4 linked regions of the Caenorhabditis elegans genome follow. The protein of the gene in region 3 purifies or fractionates together with the protein of the main gene of each other region. This does not show direct contact. Each region holds a gene or a part of one and is shown on either strand. Other genes may lie near its edges. The genes, in order: hel-1, Y53G8AR.6, thoc-2 and xpb-1.

Region 1 (4,151 bases), on a different chromosome or scaffold from region 3:
CCCAAAATTTGTCGGTACATTACATGGATAAAGAAAAGATGGTATCATTTTAAGTTATCGTACCATTAAGCCTAGTTATTTTATTAAGGCAGATAACCAGCTCAATCCAGATATTTTTATTTGGGCAGGAGGTGTAACTGCCAACTCAGAAGTCTGGGCTATGAATAAAATGCTCCAAATCACTGAAAATAGTGGAATTAAAGTCAACGACGCTTGCGAAACCTCACTTCCTAATGTTTTTGCATGTGGAGATGTTTGTGCACTGACTACCACAGAACCATCAACTCTTTGGCAACAAGTTTTATAACCATAGATTGAGTGTTAAATAAAGTTGAAATATTTTAAGAGACAATTGTGGACACAAGCACGTCAGCAAGGAGAAGTGTGTGGAAGAGCGATGGTGGCAGGCGTCGAAGAGGCTCGTATGCAGAATATGTATTTCGAACTGTTCTCGCATTGTACGACTTTTTTCGGGTTAAAGGTGAGATAAATAACAATTTGCATGGTAATTGTCGAATTTTATTTCCAAACACTCATGAAAAAAGAAAAATAAATAATACAGTCAAATTTTTTTGCGTGTAGTTGGAAACTGTTAACGATAACGAAAATTGGTAAATGAGACCACAAGAAACAGAGGTCGATAATTTAGGGGAAACAATAGGCATTTTACTCCATCAGCACAATGCCGGGTAAAACGAAGGTGGAACTCATATTTAGTTGAATGCATAGGAGGGTACATGGAATCAATTGGTTCGGCCTTCGACTGAAAATAAGAATTTTTGAATGGGCGTTGGTATATATAAACTCACTGTAGGTAGAGACATCGATCTTTTCTGGGAGCTCAGTGATGCTGATATCGAAGCGGTCTTGAACGCTGTTCAAGGTCTTGGCGTCATTCTCATCAGAAACGAAAGTGATGGCCAAACCCTTGGTTCCAAAACGACCAGCACGTGCAACTCTGTGAAGATACGAGTCGGAATCTTCTGGCATGTCGTAGTTGAACACGATGTTGACTCTTTCGATATCCATTCCACGTCCAAACAAATCGGTGGCCACCAAGATTCTCTTTTGGAAGTCTTTGAATGCTTGGTATCTTGAAAGTCGCTCTTCTTGAGCCATTTGACGATGAATGGCAATTGATGGGAAATTTTGTTCTGTGAGGAGCTGGTGGAGAGCTTCGCAACGTTTTACGGCCTTGACGAAAATGACGACTTGGTTGAACTCGAGTGCATCGAGAAGATTCAGCAAACGACGGTTCTTCTCGGCTTCCTTCAGTTTGACGTAATGTTGCTGAAGTCCGTGCAGAGTGAGCTTGGCTTCGTCGTCGACGTAGACTTCCATTGGCTGAAAAAATGTTTTAAGGTCTAGAACGGCAGCACGGTGATGAATCGGGGGCTGGAACGTGTTTTGCAGTACATGTCACGTGTTCCCGACAAGTCTTTCGACCTATTAGCAATCAGCTTCGCTGAGGCGAGCCAGCTACCTCCCCCGAGGACGATGGCTTCTGCGTGGCGAGAGGCTTAACAAGATGAGATCTGAAATCCGAGAAATCAAAAAGCGACTTCGGAATTAACGACCAACCAAGTTCTGGCCATCTCTTTCGCATCACGGAACACACATGACTAGCATTTTGGTTTGATACATGTTTTTTGTTTCAAAAAAGTGAACAGCGGTTCCGTAGGTTCCGGATCAGAGATAAAGCGTACGTCTTGCATGAATCGCTTGCAAACAGTGCGAAGCTCCTTTGGCAATGTGGCGGAGAACATCATCACTTGCTTCTGTTGTGGAGTCATCTTGACGATTTCTTGAACATCCCGACGCATATCTGAAAAAGTTCAATAATGATTCCTATATTTACAAGTATTTCTTACCAGCATCTCCGATCATCTTGTCGCACTCGTCCAGGACGAAGTACTTGACTTTGTCAAGCTTCAGCTTGCCAGAACGAGCCAGAGCCAACATTCTTCCTGGAGTTCCAACAACAATGTGTGGACAGTCATTGGCAAGGCGTTCCTCATCTTTCTTGATGGCCATTCCACCGAAAAAGACAGCTACCTTGACTCCTGGGAGATATTTGCTAAATCTCTCATACTCCTTGGAAATTTGGAATGCCAACTCGCGAGTGTGGCACATGCAAACAACAGATACCTGAAAACAATGATTTATTGAAATTTGATGTATTACTGTTTACCTCGCCATCCACTGGCTCCAGTTGTTGAAGAGTGGTGATTACAAAAACAGCGGTTTTACCCATACCGGACTTCGCTTGGCAGACAACGTCCATTCCAAGAATGGCTTGAGGAATGCACTCATGTTGTACTTCCGATGGATGTTCGAAACCGCAGTCTCCGATGGCACGAAGAATTTCTGGCTTCAAGAGGAAGTCACGAAATCCGGAAGAATGAATAGAAGCATACGTTCCTTTAGTTTTTCTGGCATCGCCTCCGCCAACTTCTGGCTGCTTGTCTTGGATCTCCTCCTGCTCCTCTTCGTAGTCAAGAAGTTGTTCCTCTTCCATTCTGAAACAAAAAAAAATAAAGGTCTTCATAAAAAGGGGCTTGAGATTAATCCTAATTTCACGAAGAAAATAGAGAATAGTGTTTAACCTATTAGAGAAAGTCACAAATAGAACAATCAAAAGAAATTTAGTAAATAACCTCACAAAAACAGATCAAAACAGGAAAATGCAGAGCGGTTGCTCCTCATGAAGAATAAACCGCGAAACGATACCCATTCGAATATTTTCGACGCGCGACGCACACGCAACGCGTCGCTTCGTATGGTCTCGCAGCGAAGTAATTAGCAATGGGCGGGTGTTCAAATACGAGAGGGGGAATGTGGCTGTAAACAGCTGTCCAGTGCACAAGACAATATTAGTAGCGAAACGATCCGAAAGATAGATGTGTGCAAAGAATCATAGAAAAACAAATGTTCTTTCAGGTGGTGTTTCTTGGAGACTACAAACCAGAGAGACAGGTGGAAGGAGAATGGAAGATTGTATTGAGGTACTGTACACTTTTTAGATTACAATGAAACATGCTCTAATATTCAGAGACGCCGATAACGATCAACTCGTTCGATGTGTAGTCGTCAAAAATAAGATTGTCGGTGCCCTTCTAATTGGCGAAACTGACATGGAGGAGACACTCGAAAATCTGATTCTCAACAAAACAGATCTAGAAGGCATTTCAGAAACATTCTTGGAGCCGGGAGTTGATCTCGATGATTATTTTGATTAGATTATTATTATACTGTATGATGTTTATACATTTTGTTGTGTTTGAATAATATTAAACCAGTTTTCTACTATCTTTTTCACATCTATACATTTTCTGCGTCTCCATCTCTTTACCACGTGGAATACACCAGTGCTAGTCGTATTCTCCTTGCTCTCTTACACTCTTTTTCTCTATCAAATGCGTTGGGACATTGTCACATTTTCATTAGGGTTCAATATAGAGCCAAGTAGTATTGATTCAGGTTCAATTTTCATACGATATAAACTACAGACACACTCGTATTATAGATATACGACATTTCCAAAATATCGCCTTTCCGAATTGCGAAGAAATACTTGTAGTAAATGATGCATCAGAAGATATAGGATCTTGTGGAAGTGCATTGAATGCATTAATAAGAACTGCTGAAAGGCTATGCTACAGGAATAATTTGACAGTACTCACAGAATCCGTCTTGCAAGACGTGAACGTGTTAATTGTTTTGGTGGTGAGTACTTTTTATTATTTCGATAAAATAGTAGAATAAAAATTATAATTAATTTCTTGGACATTGAGAAATAGCTGTAATTATAATTGTACAATGAAATAGGCATAAATACATTTTTTGTCTCAAGTTTCAATATTTACGGTGGCGTGTAGTAAAACATCTTAAAACGTGTTGAAATTTTCCATTTTTAGTCAAAAAGTGATGATAATAGAGTTTTCGCCATTCACAATTTTGGATGCCGACCAAAAAATAATAATTTCTACGAGCTTAATATTTATTGCGTTTCAACTGTATGTTTTAAACATGTTTTAGAACACTTCTGGGTTAAAACCTGCATCAATGCTCAAGATTATTCAAAAAGCCAATACATTTGAAAATTTGGGAATTTGTCAAAACGTTGTCTGAAAAAACTTTTTTAGAATGTT
Region 2 (4,916 bases), 3.1 Mb from region 3:
TAGCATTTAAAATGTGCATTTTCGAAAAACTAACAAAATCGAATTCCCCGCCTAATTTTAGCCCTAAACGCTTTTTTTCTGAAGTTATAGCGTAAAATTGGAATTTCCGGGGGTACTGTAGCTCCAAAAGTACGCAAACACCAGATCTGACGACAAAATGCAGAAAATTGGGAAAATCACGTTTTTTGGGGTGCAAAATGACGAGAAACTCGATTTTCCACTCAAAATTGTGCAAAAAACTTTAAAAATGGAGAAAAATAACAAAATTTTGAAAAAAAAAGAGAAATAATCCTTTTTCCGATTAATTTTTCTGAAAAATGATTCGAAAATCGAATTTCCTGCCAATTTCTACACCTGAAAGCTTTTTTCTGAAGTTTTAGCGCAAAATTGGAATGTCCGGGGGTACTGTAGCTCCAAAAGTACGCAAACACCGCAACACACCAGATCTGACGACAAACTGCGGAAAAATGAGAAAAACTAGCTTTTGGGGGGTGAAAAACGACGGGAAATCTGAATTTTAAACAGGAATCTCCCAAAAACTGACAATTTCACCAGAAAATTCACTTGTAGGAGTACGGTAGCCGCGAAAATACGCAAACACCAGATCTCACGACAAAATGCAGAAAATCCCGAAAAAACGGGTTTTCGGGGTGAAAAATGACGGGGAATTTGAATTTTAGGGTGGAAATTGTCTAGAAACCCAAGAAAAAAGTGAAAACCCGCAGAGAAACCGAGTTTTTTAGTATTTTTTCGGGGAAAACCCAATTTTTTCGCAATTTCCTCTTAGTTTTCTTTTTTTTAGCTCACATTCCACTTATCCTTCTTATACCAATTATCATCGCCGACAAACTTCACCGCCGCACCTCTGTGTACCAGAAAATGAGCCGCCGCCAGGTCGGGCCCGAGGAAAAGTAGTCTTTCGGGGATTACTCTGCAAAAAAATGGGGTTTTCAAGGTTTTAAATAGCATTTTTTAGGGTATTTTTCTTGAAAAATCAATAAAAATCAATAAAAAATCGCCTCTGATCATATTGCATATGCTGAAACTTTTTATATCTCCGATATCGTTTAATATTATCGATTGAATGATCTACGTAGCGCATTTGTGTGTGCCACGTCAGCAGCTCCATCGGCAACTGTCCAGTATCCTTCCGTGTCATGTCTGCTGGCGCTTTTTTGGGATTTACTGGAAAAAAACCAATTTTTTCCGGTAATTTTCAGTAAAAATCGATTTTTTTCCCAATTAACAACCCACAATCATCGGGTCTTTCCGGTGTAATATACAGTCCCGTCGGTAATCGAATAAAATTCTTATTCCTCTGCTTTTCCTGCACATTTTCCACATGTGCCGCCTGCATTTCCTGCCACCGCTTGAATCTCGACCATTTATGTACCCATCCGTTCGATTTTACACTTGTTCTGAAGCTTCGCGCGGTGCAATAGACCCGGTTCATGCTGAAAATGTCGAAAATTTCGAGAAAATCCGTGGAAAACTGATTATTTTGAGCAAATTTGAGCAAAAATGAAAAAAAAAGAATTATTTTTAAAGGCGCATAGGATTAAATGGGCTGTGGGTCTCGATGGGACCGGTGGAGAGAGTGTGTAAAGGAGAGAGACGCAGACATTGCAAATCTTTATTTTAAATTTATTAAACAAAAATTAATGATTTCGCTTGTTTTCGTGCGATTTTTTTGGTTTTTCTGTTGAAAAATGAATGAAAATTGCATTTTTTGGGTTAAAAATGTTGATTTTCAGCTAAAAATCCGCTAGAAACCGTCTAAAAACCTGTAAAGCCTACGCTATTGATTTTTTCGCGGGATTCTCCCAATTTTTCCCGCGTTTTCTTATTTAAAATTGTTCAAATTGCAGATAAAAAATGGTTCTTAGCGTCGCCGATGCCAAGAAATTGACAGTTCCACGTCTGAAGGAGGAACTCGCCAGCCGTGGGCTCGATAACACCGGAAACAAGCCGGAGCTGTTGGCAAGGCTCACAGAAAGCATTGAGCAGGTTGGAAAAGAAGGAAAATTTGGGAATTTTGATGAAAAAATAGCGAAAAATCCAAATTTTTTGGAAAAAAAGCAAAAAAAAAAATTTTTTCTTTTTTTAATTTAAATTTTTTAATTTTCCAGGCAGCCGACGAGCTTCTGGGCGACGCTGGAATCACATCTGACACTCATTTATTATCAGATGATATTCTAAATGATGATATTCTCGATGCTCCGAGTGTTGGAGACGAATCTGAAGCTGATAAGCTTCTGGGATCAGTTGACGGAGCAGAAGAGCACAAAACAGATAAATCCGAGGGAGAAGAGAAGCATGAAGTTCATTTAATTGATAAGAAAATCGATGAAGTTACTGCAGAAACTGATAAAAGAGCCCGTGCCATACGATTTGGGCTCCCCGTCACTGCTGAAGACCTCGGCTCGGATGGAGCTAAGGCTGCCAGGGCTAAGAGGTTGAAAATCTATCAATTTTTGGCTTAAAAATGCTGAAAAACGATGCATTTTGTGGAAAATCTGACGTGTTCAGCTTAAAAACTGGAAAAATGGGATTTTTGCCCTCAATTCTCACTAAAAATTATATTTTTAAAGTTTTTCGCACGAAAATTTGCTGTAAAATCCTTTTTTTTCACTCAAAAACTTGTAAATTCGCATTTTTACAAATTTTTCTCCCAAAAAACCTCTAAAACGCAATTTCCAGCCATATTTACACTAAAATTTTTAGAATTTTGAGATTTTTGAATTTCCCACTGATAAAAATGCCAAAAACTCCAATTTTAACTACAACAAACGTGAAAAATCCTAATTTTTCACTGTAAAAATGAAAAAAAAAAGAAAAAAAAATGCCAAAAATCCCGAGTTTTACTTAAAAAGCACTAAAAATCTTCATTTTTCACTGAAAAATGCCAAAAAATCTCAATTTTCACCTTAAAAACACCAAAAATCCTGATTTCCTGTATAAAAAATGCCAGAAAAATCCGATTTTCACCACAAAAAAGTCGAAAAATCTCATTTTTTCGCTTAAAAACCATCAAAAAGTCCAAAAAAATTTTCTATCAAAAATGCCTTAAATTACAAATTTTCCAACCTGAAATGCAATTTTTCACTTAAAAAGCCTAAATTTCTGACTCTGTAATACAAAAAATGCCAAAAAATCTCAATTTTCACCTAAAAACTCTCCAGAACCCCCGTTTTTCACTTAAAAACACCTAAATTTCTAACTTTCTGACCCAAAAATTGCCAAAAATCCCAAAAAAAAATCCCAATTTTCACCTAAAAACTCTCCAAAAACCCCGTTTTTCACTTAAAAACACCTAAATTTCTAACTTTCTGACCCAAAAATTGCCAAAAATCCCAAAAAAAATCCCAATTTTCACCTTAAAACTCCTCCAAAACCCAAATTTTTTGCAGATTTGATCTCCCAGAAGACTCAAAACGACTAACATCAAATGACGCGAAGGCTTCACGTGCTGAAAGATTCGGAATTACCCCAAAAACGCCTGCCGCTGATGATAAGCTGGCCGCCCGTGCCGCCCGTTTTGGAATTCCAGTTGGTGGAGCAGCTTCAGCTTCAGCTTCGAAAAATGCTCCAAATTCTGAGGGAAAAGCTGCAAAATTGGCTGCTCGAGCCAAACGATTCGGTGGTGAAATTGATGATGAGGAGATGGAAGCAAAGAAAAAAGCAAGAATGGAACGATTTGGAACATCTAATTAATTTTCTGATTTTTGTGCATTTTTTACTTTTTTTTTTTGGGAAAATTGAGAAAAAATGAGATTTTTGAGCTAAATTTTTGAATTTTTTGGCGAAAAATGAGCTGAAACCCAATTTTTTGCTGAAAAAACTGAAAAATTCTGTAAAAATTAACATTTTTGACCAAAGTACCCCAAGAAATTCAAAATTTCATTAAAATATATGAAAATTGCTGAGATTTTGCAACTTTCACTGAAAAATTTAAATTTTCCCCCAAAATTTTAGATTTTTATCGAAAAAAAATCGTTTTCCTCTCGAATTTGTGATTTTTCTAGAAAATTTCGACTCTGGCTAAATTTTGCGATTTTTCCGTCAAAATTTTAGATTTTTTGCCGAAAAAAAAATTAAATTTTAACGAAATTTGATTATTTTCTCGAGTTTTCCTTGAAAAAAATCACTTTTCCCTAATTTTCGTGAAAATTTATGAAAAAATCACTTTTTTCCCTAAAAAATTTCCCATTTTCCTCGATTTTCGTGTGTTTTTCCCCGAAAAAAATTATATTTTTTATTTATTTTTTCAATTTTTTAACCCAAAACTTGTTGTTTTATTCTTATTTTCCCTCTAACTTTTTGTTTTTTCCCAATTTCTCCATGAAAAATCTGGATTTCCAGTATAATTACAGCTTTTTTGTGTAATTTTTAGAGTTTTGAGTTTTTTGTTGTGTGATCGATCACATACCTGAAATTTTGGATTTTAAGCTGAATTTTTAGAACGAAAATTTGAAAAAATTGAGAATTTTCACTGAAAAACCACGAAAATTTTTGAATTTTTCACAAAAAATCAAATTTTTAGTGAAAAACTCGACTCTTTTCCCCAAATTTTCAGCCAAAATGGAGTCTGCAGACGGTGAAATTGAAGCCCTATGCAGTATTTGGGATGGAGTCCACGTGGAGTCCAAATTAGAAGCTTCTCGGCGATATTTAAAGCATAAAATTAAATCATTGGAAGATGAATCCACGTCTGCATCGGTTTTAATTGAAATGACCGTCTCTGAAGGGGTAAAAATTGGAGTTTTTTAGTGTTTTCGGGTGAAAAATTCAAATTCCCCGTCATTTTTCACCCCGAAAACCCGTTTTTTCGGGATTTTCTGCATTTTGTCGTGAGATCTGGTGTTTGCGTATTTTCGCGGCTACCGTACCCCTAAAAGTGAAGTTTCTGGTGAAAT
Region 3 (8,045 bases):
AGTAAATTCAAGTAAAGGGCTGTTCCCATAGATTGGAAGTCGTTCGGAAATTTGACGTTGTCTTTTGCTCACATTTAGCACTTGATCTTCGACTTTTGGATTGACTCTTCGAGCAAGCATTCTATATTCGAAATACTTCCATTGCTTTCACATTCCAAGAAGTTCAACGATCCAATGTCTTTAGATTTAATGCTAACAAAAAATAAAACGAATATTTAATAATCCATCAGGATACAATAGAAAACCTCGTAGACAACATAAACTGAGATACAATAATGAAAATCTGGGGATATGTGGTGAGAGCTCATCTAAATGTTCGATGCCCACGATCTCTTCCACTCTTTCCAGCATCACGTGCAGGCTCTGCTATTCTTGATGCCTTTGGAAGTTCTTCTTTTTTTTCTTTTCGATCATCTTTGCGATCTTTTCGAGAGGACGATGTTGATTTTGAAGGCTCCTCTAGATCAAACTCAATCGCTTTTCGAGAGCCTTTCTTGTCATCTTTCTTGGGAACTGGGTCGGGAAGCTGAAATAAATCACATTTTCGAAAGGAAAATTTTGAAAATAGCTTGAGAAAACGTTAATATCTTACCGCGGGTCCTGCCACTTCAAGCTTCTCATCGGACGGCTTGCTTTTTTGCTTCTGATCTTTGAGAATCTTTTGTTCTTTCTGGTTTTCTCCATTTTCTCGCTTCCTTTCCTTATCCTTTTCTCGTTCCTTATTATCCTTCTCCAACCGTTTCTCTTTTCCTGTTTCTTTGTCTTTCGATCGTTCTCTTCTTTTCTTACCTTCTCCTTTTTCAGATTCTGTGTCCTTCGGAGATTCTTTCTCATCTTTCTTTGAAGGTTCATCAGACCGTTTTAAGCGATCAACAATTCGAGTCTTCTTTGCAGGAGGGGGACTTGGAGTCTTCACTTCACCATCTTCAGTTGTTGGCTCTTTCTTTGATTCTTTTGATCCGTGGGATGATTTCTAAAATTATAATAGTTAGTTCAGTTCTGTGAATTTTAATAATTTATGTACTCACTCCAGGTCGCTTCTTTCTCTCTTTGTTATCTACTGTAGCTTTCTTCTCTGTTTCACTTCCATTCTGATGTACTTCATCATCTTTCACCACTTTCTCCGAACTCGTCGTCCCATTTTTCTTCGAATCTACTTTAATCTTCTTATCAACTGGTTCCCCATCAGCTTTATCTTTCTCATCTACCACTTTTTCTTTTTTCTTTGGTTTTTCAGCACCGACCGACACCTTCTTGTTGGGAACTGGGGCGTAATCCGAATTTTGAGCATAAATCTTCACAGTTCTCATCTTGAGCTTTCCAACATACGAGGCTGCTTTTAATGATAGATCGTCACGTTTTCCCTTCTCTCGATCCTTCAACTTGGTTACAGCTGTTTCCATTGTGGCGACTGCATGTGATATGACTGGAAATCCAGATGTCAACTTTGTCATCATAATCAATGAATTTCTGATAAGTACATAGTCAGCATCATCTTTTGTGAAGACTGTCTTAAACATGGCAGTAAATCGAATTTGCCATCTATAGCATAACTTTCGGAAAGTTTGATATTCAATTGCTTGTTTTGTGATCATTCCTGGAAATCCTGCACATTCCTTCTCGAAAACTTCTTTCTCCGAGTGCCATCTTTGAACAGTGCAGAGCAGAATTTCAAAGAAGCATGCCAGCGAGTTGGCTTCGTTCTCGGTGAGCCCCGCGATCAGAGGAATTATGTTCTCGAAGAGTCTGTCAATGATCAGAACCGATGGGAAGAATGGAGTCCGCATTTCGTGAAGCATCATGAAGAATTGACCACAGAACACTGCATCAAGTTCGGAGAATATGGCACGTGGCAGGAGGCATTGTTGAATGAGAGCTTCCAATACAGCTGGAAATATTGGAAAAGTATTAAAGCGGATTTCATGCATAAACTTACAATTATGGAATTGCTCATCAATCAACGAGTCTTTCTTGTTCAGAAGCCATACTTTACAACGTTCCACGTGCTCAATTTGCCTCTTCTGCTCTTCTCGAAGCTTACTCTCCAACTGTTTATCAGTTTTCTTAGCTTTTCCCTGAAATAAAAAATAGTAGATTATTTATAGATGAAAACTAACATGACTGTCTTCTCTTGACTGTTTCTTTAAAGCATCAAGTGTCCGTTCATATGCAGCTGTCGGAACTTCGATATCATACATTGTCAGCATCCAGAAAACAGCGAAGAATCTGAAAGAAAAATTTAGCAAACTGGGCGAAAATTTGATAAAAACTCACTTCACAGGTATATTCTCCTCCATGCCAGGTTCAGATGCTTTCAGCTCATCCATTAACATTTCCACTTGTGATTCCAACGCACTTGTAAACATTTCAGTCTTTTGCTGTGTATCCAAACGAGTCTTTTGTCCATCTTCAACAGCAGCTTTCGAGATTTTTTTAGCCGCATCATAGTGATCTGATATTCTTGAGAAGAAAATAGGTCTCGCCAGACACATTGTGGCTTCCATTCCAAGTGAATAATCAGATAACAATTCACGAACAGTTGGAACTCGTTTCGAAAAATCATCATTTTTCAGATAAACACTCAAAAATGAAACGAGTTGTTGAAATGTGTCACTACACTGATCAACCATTTTTCCAACAAGTTTCAATGGAAGAGTAGAGCTTTCATTGTAGACAATATGCTCTTTTTGTTGAGCAACTGAAATTGCCAATCCAACAGCCAAATCTCCTTTCAGAAGTGCATCACGTAGACGTTGAGCAGCTTTTCTATTCTTTGTTGCCGTTGAATATCCACCAGCTTCCTGTTTCAACAAGTCTCCACCTCCAAGTGCTTCAATTTGTTCTTTCGTTGCTCCACTGATACTCTCGATCCATGACATATTCTGGATAATTTCTCGAAGAAGAAGCATATCGTAACTTTTGCAAAGTTTCAATTGATTTAGCACATAGTCTAGCATTCCGTTCAGTTCGAGTGGATATCTTCGATAGAGAGATCCAACCAGTGTTCCAAGAGCTTGCAGCCAAGGAGAGATGGTAGCATCAGTGGATTTGAGAGCTTGTTTCGATGGATCAGCCAATTGGGAGATGATGCAATCTGGAATAAATGGAAAACCTTCAAATGAGAAATATTTAAAATAGATTTGAAAAAGTTTGACTTGTTTACAAGTGAATGAAAAAAACGAGAATTTTTTCACATAGCTAACTGAAAGACTCAAAAATTTAAAATGTATCAATTTTTCCATAAAATTTTTTTATGAATTTATATGTTAAAATCTTAAAATTTCTCAAAAAAAAACGTTCGAAATTTACAAAACCTTTCAGTTTTCGTGGTTTTAACAAAATAATTTTTTGGACGTTTTTTCTCGTTTTCTAAAAAAAATTGTTTTAAATTTTGTTTGAAAACTTACAAGTGAGAACATCAAATTCAAGACTTGTCAAATATCTCAAACTATCCACAACAGGTCCAATGAAATTATCAAAAGTTTGCACTTGACTGAGGAGATATGAGAGTACTGTAGATGGATGTATATGACACAATTTTCCCAATTGTCTGCCCATCATCTTTACAGTTTCCTTCGAAAGACGCTTCAGAACATATTTTGTTCGTCCATGAATTTTCCCCTTCATTATATGCATTTCTGGATGTCTTGAAGTTTCAAGATTCCATTTTGAATACATCCAATATCTCCAAGAATACGGGAAAAGCTCAAGGAGCTGCCAAATCTCTTCACTAAGTGCAACATTTGTTTCGGACAGTGTGAGAGATGGTAGAAGACATTCGGAGACGACTTCCACGAAATTTTGATTTACTGAAATAATGATATTTAATTTTGAAAATGGTTGTTTTTTTTTCTTCAAAAATACGGTGCTCGATCTCGAAGTGACAGATTTACATAAATTTTAAAAAAGTACAAAAGTACAAGGAGTTCTGTAGATACGAACTAATTTTTCCTAGTTTTTATCGTTTTTTCAAAATGTTTTGTTAACCTTAATATCGGGGCGAAAATCGCAAAATTTCACATTTGAAAAAAACCTACGTTTATCATCCTTCGGTAGCAGATCCTTGTCAACTTTTCGGTAGTAGGCAGTCAAAAGTCGAACAATTTTGATATTTGTTGAAGCACGAAAGGCTATTCTAGGTCCCAAATAGGCAAGTACACTTGACAATTTTCCAAGATCTTCCCAACTTTCGATTGGTCTTAATCCATTTCCCATATCATCTAACACTGGTTTCGTCGATTTTATCAAATCTCCAAACAAGTTCAGCGAACAATTTTTCTTGTAAAAATCGTTAATTGATTTCTCAATTATTTTGCAAAGAGCTCTACAGAGTCGTGGACTAGCTTGAACTGCATAGTATTCTGGGAGACGATCAATGAGCATTTGAGCTTGTTTCCAGTTTCCACTTTCTAATAATGCACACGTTAAACCAAGCTTCTGATTTGATGAGAGAACATATTCCTCATTAAACCCTTCAGATAATTTTATATCCTCGTCTTCTTGAAGTTGGATTACTGTAGTGAAGGAAATCGTTTGCGTTGTCTGAAATGTTTTTAAAAATTAGATAAATATTCAATTTTCCGACCTAACCGCATTTCCACCTATTCCATTTTCATCGAAACCTCTTGAATCCATAATTGGCATTGAAGCTGTAGAAATTGTTTCTGCTTTTGATGCTCTTTCTTGTGCATTCTGCATTCTTGAACGGTGCCCTTCTTTAATTGCTTCGGCTTTTGGAATCATCTATAAATATTAATTAATAATTTCGAATAATTTAAAACGGGACTCCTCACATATCCTAAAATCTTCATCATATCGATCATTTCATGTTGAATGAGCGAAGCTGTCAGAACGTACAACGAATATGGCGTTTTCTTCTTTTTATCCGATTGATAGAATGTGAATTTGAAGCCCAGAAGTGCACACAGATAGTCACGGACCACGTCAATTTCTTTGAGAAGTGCAATGAAAAGGAGCTGAAATTAAAAATAAATATTTTTAAAATACAAATGAGCTGGATTCGTTTCAAGATTTCTTAATCTCATCATTTGAATTTCCAATTGTTTTATTTGTAAAGGATAAACGGAAAAGTTATAAATTCCAATTTTTCTCTATTGTTGAACTTTCAAATAAGCTCCGCCCACATCATGGTTGACCACCAAAACATCATGAATTTATGCAGATTCTTTATTTTACCTTCTGCCTCGGGAAATTCTCGAAAACTTCCAATATAACGTCAGTGACACGATTTGGATCCAAATTGAACTGTCCAATTAATGAAAGTACTCGATGCTTCAGAATCTTCGCATGTTCATTCTCATTCGCTGAGCTCTCGGCTGCTTCCATAAGCTCTGTGACAAGTTTTGAGTAACCTTCAGACTCTTCTCGAAATAAGTTGAATTTGGCCTGTTTGAAACTGAAGAAAAATGAGTTTTTGCAGAAATTGAATGAATTTAACTTACTAGACTTTTGTTTTCAACCTAATTAGTGCCTTGCTGTGATCATCTTTTTTGAAACAATCCAGCTCGAGGCGGAGGATTTCTTCGGGGATTATCTGAAAAAAATTTGGTATTTTTACAGGAAATTTCCAGTTAAAATCTCATTTCTTTGTTAAACAATTTTGGATTAAGTTAGAATATTAGTTTTTTTCAATCCTGAAACTACAGGTTAATTTTATTTTCCGCCAATAATACTATCTTCCATATAAATAAGCCTTTTTTGAACCTTGAGCTTTAAAAGTTGAAAGTTTTATTACCGTGTTAGTGAGTAGATTCACAAAGGATTCAAAATTCTCTTTGGAAGTGCTCGCGTTGTCAGCGAACTCGCTCTCCGGCTCGGTGAGCACTAACACGTCGATCAGCTCCGAACTGATGGCATCTCGATCTTTCTGAAATTAATGATTTCTAATTTGTTCAAGATTTTAAATGAACGAAACCTTCTCTGTGAGTATCCTTTCATAAGCCTTCATCGGTGTGATTTTCATGTGAACAATATCGAGACATAACTGGGTTAATGTTTCGAAATCGTTCATTTCTCTGTAATTATAATAATTCAATCAGAAACTAAAAAAAGAACATTAAAAGGAAATATGAGATTTCAAAAATTAAACTTTTTAAAGCGAGTTGGCACTTTGCCAGCCGAGGCAAACAAGAGTGAGAACGCGTGGACGGGAAATCTAGAGTTGAGATTTCTAGGCCATCGAGTGTGATGAGGGCATCTGAGCTCAGAAACATAACCAATTATCGGGTATTAGGATGCCGGACTTATTTTTTGTTACGCTTTATGATAGGCAGGATCTTTTGAAGGAGAGTATGACATTTTTGAATTCGGTGAGTTGTATTCTAGAGTGGTTTTCTAAATGTATTTTTTCTTTGGTAAAATAAATAGCTATATTCATAATTTTGAACTTTTCTAATTCCAGGAATGGCCCAGAAGCGATGGATCTCGTGAGCATTCACAGAAAAAATCATGCCGTCAGTCCCCTCCAATGTCGTTTTTGTTGCTCAATAAGGAGAATGACGAGATACTAGGCCACTCAAGAATCACACATCTTCCAAATCGGTGAGTAATTGGAATAAAACAATAAAAATTTGAAACTTTCGGATTATATTTCAACAATTAGAAAATTTGATAACTCACTAAAATTTCAGGAAAAAATATTTAAAAAGTTAAAAAATTTTAGCCTGAAAATAAAGGAAGCTATCATAATTCTCAAACCATTCTCCCAAAATTTGTTAATTTTCAGTGACCATGCCTTATGGATTGAGTCAGTGATGATCAAGAAGGATCAACGTGGCCTTGGACTCGGGAAATTCTTAATGAAATCCACAGAAAAATGGATGACGGAAAAAGGTTTCAATGAAGCATATCTCTCAACTGATGATCAATGTCGATTTTATGAATCTCTTGGTTATGAGAAATGCGATCCGATTGTACACTCGACAACAGCCACTTGCATCTTTCCAGCCATGAATCATTTTCAGGTAAATAGGCTTTTGAAGTTTTCAGAAATACTAAAAAATCATGTTTCTTGAAAATTCACAAAACTATACTCAGATCAATCTGATTTAGTTCGGAAATTTTGGAGATCCATCTTCAGATTCAGTCTAGAAAAATTGAATTCCTTAGTAGAAAATGCACAATTATTCAGATTTTTCTATAATTTATATCATGTTAATTTCAGAACGCGGCCGCATCCAACCCGTCCTTCCTATCAAAGATCGCACAGCCTTCAGCCTCGTCAACAGTCTCAGCTTCTGCTCCACCACCACCACCACCGCCTCCGATGGCTCCAAAAATGGTCACCAGATCCACGTCCCCGATTGTGGACGTCAACACGATTGATCACCAGTACATGAGAAAATGGTTAAAACCAACTGAATAATATATTGAGAAAAGAATACGCAAATATGAAATAAGAATTTCTACTTTTTATTGATTTTCCGCATAATGTAAAGTAATTTTAAGAATTACAAGAATAAAATAATTGAATGAGAGGGCGTGGGTGTGTTTTCTTAAAAACAACAACGAGTGAAGGGGGAATTACAGAAAAAAAGAAATAAAAAATGGGATAGAGATGGGGGTGATAGGTGGAGATGAGGGGATATGAAAGGTAGAAGAACCTGGTAAAATGGTCTGACGGGGCTCAAAGGGAAATGGGGCTCAAAACCAAAAAAGAATAAAAAGAAATTACCTAAATGAGAGAAGAAAGGCTACTAGACGATCTGTGTTTGTTGTGGGGAGAGGAGGCATGGGAGATAGTGGATAAAAACGATGATGAAGCTAACAAAAATAAAAACGAGTTGATAGAAAAAATAATGGGTCGCCTATTGCGAAAACGGTTCAGATTGGGAAAACAACAGTAGGTACAAAACAGCCATTCTGTGCATGTATACAAGGAATCATTCTGTGAATGTATTTTGAGATATAAAAAATGAGACGAGGATGAAAAACGAGCACGGAGAGACAGAAGAAAACAAGAATAAACGCGCAAAGCGACGGCACATTTTGTGAACTACCCTAGAAAGATATCTATAACGATTAAA
Region 4 (4,782 bases), 5.2 Mb from region 3:
TGCGGCACCTCACGAACTCCAAAATTCGCGGGAATTCGTTTCGCGGGGACAGCAGTTTTTGGCTGTTTTTGGCTTCTATAGGAAATTATTTTTGATTTTTTGTTTTATAATATTCTTGAGAAGCATCATCCGAATTTAAAATGTGTGAAATTATGAAATTTGACCGAAAACTGAAGGTTTTACAGGAAGGATTCGCTACGGCTTTCTTTAAAATGTATCAGAATCGTCAGTTTTTCGATTTCAGTCGTAAAATATGCCATTTTGTAGAGAAAAGTCTGTTTCACAAAAATCCATGTTTGACATTTCAAAATTGTTTTTATTTAAAACCTGAAAAATCGAAAAAATAAGCTTTTAAAGGTGGAGTAGCGCCAGTGGGGAAATTGCTTTAAAACACGCATATGGTACCACAATGACCGAATATCATGATAAAAATTTTTTCTAGATTTTATATGATTTTTTGAAAATTGAAAAAATCTCAGTTTTGCCTAATTCCTATTTGAATTACCGCCAATTGGATTTGTTCGATGGAGCGCGCTTGCACGTTTTTATTTTTATTTATTGTTATTTTTTCTTATTTTTCACCGACTTTTCATGTTTTCAGTGTATTTTTGTCTGAAATTTGAAGAAAAAGTCAAAATAAATGCTATTTTTTGAAATTAATTAATTCGGGTTCGAAATCGCTTAAATGCATTTTTTTAATTTAACGCCTGTAAGCGTGCTGTTTAATCGAAAATTAGCATTTATTTTGACTTTTTCTTCAAATTTCAGACAAAAATACACTGAAAACATGAAAAGTCGGTGAAAAATAAGAAAAAATAACAATAAATAAAAATAAAAACGTGCAAGCGCGCTCCATCGAACAAATCCAATTGGCGGTAATTCAAATAGGAATTAGGCAAAACTGAGATTTTTTCAATTTTCAAAAAATCATATAAAATCTAGAAAAAATTTTTATCATGATATTCGGTCATTGTGGTACCATATGCGTGTTTTAAAGCAATTTCCCCACTGGCGCTACTCCACCTTTAAAAGCTTATTTTTTCGATTTTTCAGGTTTTAAATAAAAACAATTTTGAAATGTCAAACATGGATTTTTGTGAAACAGACTTTTCTCTACAAAATGGCATATTTTACGACTGAAATCGAAAAACTGACGATTCTGATACATTTTAAAGAAAGCCGTAGCGAATCCTTCCTGTAAAACCTTCAGTTTTCGGTCAAATTTCATAATTTCACACATTTTAAATTCGGATGATGCTTCTCAAGAATATTATAAAACAAAAAAATAAAAATAATTTCCTATAGAAGCCAAAAACTGCTGTCCCCGCGAAACGAGTTCCCGCGAATTCTGGAGTTCGTGAGGTGCCGCGAGAGATCGCGTTCTAATAATTATGAACAATTTTTTTGTTAATTTCAGCCATTTCAGCCGTCGAAACAGTCCACGAAACTATAAAAATCGAGTCTCGCCGCACCGTGGCCTGCGAAGGAAATGTCTATTTCGAAGAAACGAACGTCATTCAATTTCCCAAAAATCTGCCGCCCAACGTACACGTGATCACCGCCGCCCAATATGGATCGAATTAAATGTTTATTTATAAATATTCGTTTTTTTTTTTGTTTTTTGTTTTATTATGAAAGTCTAGTGAAAAGAACTAGCTGTTTTATAAATTTATATGTCTCCCCTCTGGCTCCTCTCCTGTGTCTGCATATTGTCGTGAATTTCGCTGTATTTGCGTACTTTTTCTCCCCCGGTTTTCTTCCTTTTTTTTCGTATTTTAGACGAATTTTCAATTTTCCAAAAGAAATGGCGACGAAAGAGCGAAAACGACGCGGAAAATGGGATACCTACAAAGCAGAAGAAGCTCCATCATTGTATTCTGGAAATGCTGACAAGGAAACTAGTTCTGGTAACGCGGGGCTCTTTTCCTGGAAATTTTCGAATTAAAAAATTAAATTTTTAGTTCCAAAAGCTGCCTCGCACAATTTGAACGGAGAAAATGCGTCGTCAGTGATGACTGATGAGTTTGGAGCCAAAGATTATCGAAAGGATATGCCATTGAAAGTATGGAGAAGCTCTAAAAATTCGAAAAAATGGTCTGACAAGCTTGAAAAACCCAGAAAAATGGCAATTTTTACAATTTTTTGGCAAAAAAACCCTAATTTTCATGATTTTTTCACCCAATTTTCAGTAAATTAACGATTTTTCCCCCGAAATATCGAAAATTTGGTTAATTTCCAGGGAAAATCGTAAAAATTACTTTATTCTAAAATAATTTCGGTCTGAAAAATGTAAAAAGTTACGAATTTTTGCTATTTTTTTTTGTTTTTTTCGGTCAAAAAATCGTTAAAAAACACTTTTTTTCGAGTTTTTCAACCCAAATTGGCAAATTTTAATTGAAAATTCACAATTTTCAGGGTGATTTCACTGCAAGACCGCTGTGGGTTGCTCCGGATGGTCATATTTTCCTCGAGTCGTTCAGCCCGGTTTACAAGCACGCCAGGGACTTTTTAATTGCAATTTCAGAGGTTATTAACGTCTTTTTTCAGTTAATTCTGAAAAAAATTCATTTAAAAAAATTTGATTCATCTGAAAAGATTTATTTGTAAAAATTATGTTTGGCCAATTTTTTTTTGATTTTTTAATTTTTTTTTCCGTAAAAAATTCCAAATTAGTGCTTTTCAGGTCAATTTTAGAGGTTCAGCACTTTTTTTTCATGGAAAATGACTGAAAATTTGAGCCTAAAATTAACAAATATTAAATTTTTCCAAAAAAAAAAAATCGAAATTCTGATTTTTCAATTTTTCGATTATCTCTTACACATATTGCCAGAATTGAAAATTTCCGACAAATCGTCAAAGTGTCGGGATTTAAATTTTCCGGCAAATCGGCAACTTGCCGGAATTGAAAATTTCCGGCAAATCGGCAAATTGCCGGTATTGAAAGTTTCCGGCAAATCTGCAAATTGCCAGAATTGAAAGTTTCCGGCAAATCGACAAATTGCCGGAGTTTAAAATTCCGGCAAATCGGCAAATTGCCGGATTTGAAATTTTCCGGCAAATCTGCAAATTGCCAGAATTGAAAGTTTCCGGCAAATCGACAAATTGGTGGAATTGAAATTTTCCGGCAAATCTGCAAATTGGTGGAATTGAAATTTTTTGGCAAATCGGCAAATTGCCGGAATTGAAAGTTTCCGGCAAATTGACAAATTGCCGGAGTTTAAAATTCCGGCAAATCGGCAAATTGCCGGAATTGAACGTGTCTTGTAAATAGCTGATTTGCCGAATTTGACATTTCCGGCAAATCGTCAAAGTGCCGGATTTAAAAAGTCCGGCAAATTGCAGAATTTATCGAGAAAAAAATTTGCCGAACTGCAATCGCCACCCATCCCTGCTACATATTCCAATTTTCAGCCCGTCTGCCGTCCACAACACATCCACGAATACCAGCTAACTGCCTATTCTCTCTACGCAGCTGTATCAGTTGGCCTACAAACAAAAGATATCATTGAATACCTGGAACGATTAAGTAAAAGTCAACTGCCAAAAGGAGTCATCACATTCGTTCAAATGTGCACTGTGAGCTACGGAAAGGTTAAGCTTGTGCTCAAGCATAACAGATACTTTGTCGAATCGCGACATTCCGATGTTATGCAGAAGCTTCTCAAGGACTCTGTGATCCAGTCGTGTATTCTAGATGATCGTGTGCAACCTGCTCAGCAAACCGAGCTTCCTGCACAGGAAAAAATCAAATTCTCACATGGAAATGAGAATGAGAAGGGTGTGGAAAAGGATGGAGCAGCAGCAGACGGTACGGCGGCGGCGGCGACAGATGGAAAAGTTCCAGCTGATATTGATGAATTCTACGGGAAAATCGATGGAGATGATGAGGAAGACGCAGAGATTCGAAATTTGCAACTTCTAACGTTTGAGATCAAACAAGAAACGATCGAAACAGTGCAAAAACGATGTATCGAGCTTGAGTATCCACTGCTCGCCGAGTACGACTTCAGAAATGACACTTTGAATCCGAACCTTGGAATTGATCTGAAACCATCGACTACACTTCGTCCGTACCAGGAGAAATCCCTACGGAAAATGTTTGGAAATAGTCGTGCGAGAAGTGGTGTGATTGTTCTGCCGTGTGGAGCCGGAAAGACGCTTGTCGGAGTGACTGCTGTGACGACGGTTAACAAGAGATGTTTAGTGTTGGCGAATTCCAATGTTTCTGTCGAACAGTGGAGGGCTCAGTTTAAGCTTTGGAGCACGATTCAGGATAAACAGCTTGTCAGGTTTACTAGAGAGGCGAAGGATCCAGCACCGTCGGGAGCCGATGCGACCAAGGTTGGAGTGGAAGGAGTGGAAAAATAATGAAGAATTTTAGAGGAAAATCTGAAAAAAATTGAAAAATTTTCGACTTTTAGATTTTCTGAAAAATCGAAAAATTAACCATAAAAAATAATTGATGAGAAAAAAATTAAAATTTTTTCAAAAAATGAAGAAAATTTCGAGCTAATTTTTGAAAAATCGAGAATTTTCGATTTTTCGATTTTTGAATAATCGGGAATTTTCGATTTTCAATTTTTTGAAAAATCGGGAATTTTCGATTTTTCAATTTTTTGAAAAATCGAGAATTTTCTATTTTTCGATTTTTTGAATAATCGGGAATTTTCGATTTTTCAATTTTTTGAAAAATCGAGAATTTTCGATTTTTCGATTTCAATTTTTTGAAAAATCGAAAAACCGACACCCTTGGTCAGAGTGCCTCATTTCGGTTTGGTCTAC

What was found.
Region 1: the proteins of thoc-2 (region 3) and hel-1 fractionate together in Caenorhabditis elegans (co-fractionation; one large-scale study listed by BioGRID). This does not show direct contact.
Region 2: the proteins of thoc-2 (region 3) and Y53G8AR.6 fractionate together in Caenorhabditis elegans (co-fractionation; one large-scale study listed by BioGRID). This does not show direct contact.
Region 4: the proteins of thoc-2 (region 3) and xpb-1 fractionate together in Caenorhabditis elegans (co-fractionation; one large-scale study listed by BioGRID). This does not show direct contact.

What each region holds. Positions count from the first base shown.
Region 1 is NC_003280.10:8,326,352-8,330,502, forward strand, and holds hel-1 (Spliceosome RNA helicase DDX39B homolog), read right to left. Parts: upstream 2,520-4,151; 5' UTR 2,519-2,519; coding exon 2,192-2,518; intron 2,149-2,191; coding exon 1,872-2,148; intron 1,826-1,871; coding exon 1,707-1,825; exon of another isoform or gene 1,582-1,706; intron 1,536-1,581; exon of another isoform or gene 1,345-1,535; coding exon 810-1,344; intron 764-809; coding exon 744-763; 3' UTR 501-743; downstream 1-500. Other genes in the region: C26D10.3 (Pyridine nucleotide-disulfide oxidoreductase domain-containing protein 1), read left to right, coding at 1-41, 89-298, 347-481, 2,941-3,005, 3,053-3,239; C26D10.4 (GHMP kinase N-terminal domain-containing protein), read left to right, coding at 3,417-3,480, 3,527-3,726.
Region 2 is NC_003281.10:3,292,877-3,297,792, forward strand, and holds Y53G8AR.6 (SAP domain-containing protein), read left to right. Parts: upstream 1-1,866; 5' UTR 1,867-1,875; coding exon 1,876-2,007; intron 2,008-2,129; coding exon 2,130-2,455; intron 2,456-3,410; coding exon 3,411-3,714; 3' UTR 3,715-4,372; downstream 4,373-4,916. Other genes in the region: Y53G8AR.8 (ATP synthase subunit s-like protein), read right to left, coding at 808-931, 1,020-1,185, 1,255-1,453; Y53G8AR.5 (RING-type domain-containing protein), read left to right, coding at 4,582-4,749.
Region 3 is NC_003281.10:6,366,032-6,374,076, reverse strand, and holds thoc-2 (THO complex subunit 2), read right to left. Parts: upstream 6,036-8,045; 5' UTR 6,032-6,035; coding exon 5,936-6,031; intron 5,888-5,935; coding exon 5,756-5,887; intron 5,555-5,755; coding exon 5,463-5,554; intron 5,417-5,462; coding exon 5,197-5,416; intron 4,977-5,196; coding exon 4,794-4,976; intron 4,744-4,793; coding exon 4,591-4,743; intron 4,543-4,590; coding exon 4,038-4,542; intron 3,810-4,037; coding exon 3,408-3,809; intron 3,095-3,407; coding exon 2,275-3,094; intron 2,227-2,274; coding exon 2,118-2,226; intron 2,076-2,117; coding exon 1,937-2,075; intron 1,889-1,936; coding exon 1,029-1,888; intron 974-1,028; coding exon 593-973; intron 527-592; coding exon 305-526; 3' UTR 173-304; downstream 1-172. Other genes in the region: C56G2.15 (N-acetyltransferase domain-containing protein), read left to right, coding at 6,255-6,329, 6,422-6,561, 6,746-6,983, 7,184-7,384.
Region 4 is NC_003281.10:11,524,878-11,529,659, forward strand, and holds the start of xpb-1 (General transcription and DNA repair factor IIH helicase/translocase subunit XPB), read left to right. Parts: upstream 1-1,779; 5' UTR 1,780-1,804; coding exon 1,805-1,907; intron 1,908-1,961; coding exon 1,962-2,062; intron 2,063-2,415; coding exon 2,416-2,526; intron 2,527-3,411; coding exon 3,412-4,341; intron 4,342-4,782. Other genes in the region: Y66D12A.16 (Spen family transcriptional repressor), read left to right, coding at 1,418-1,584.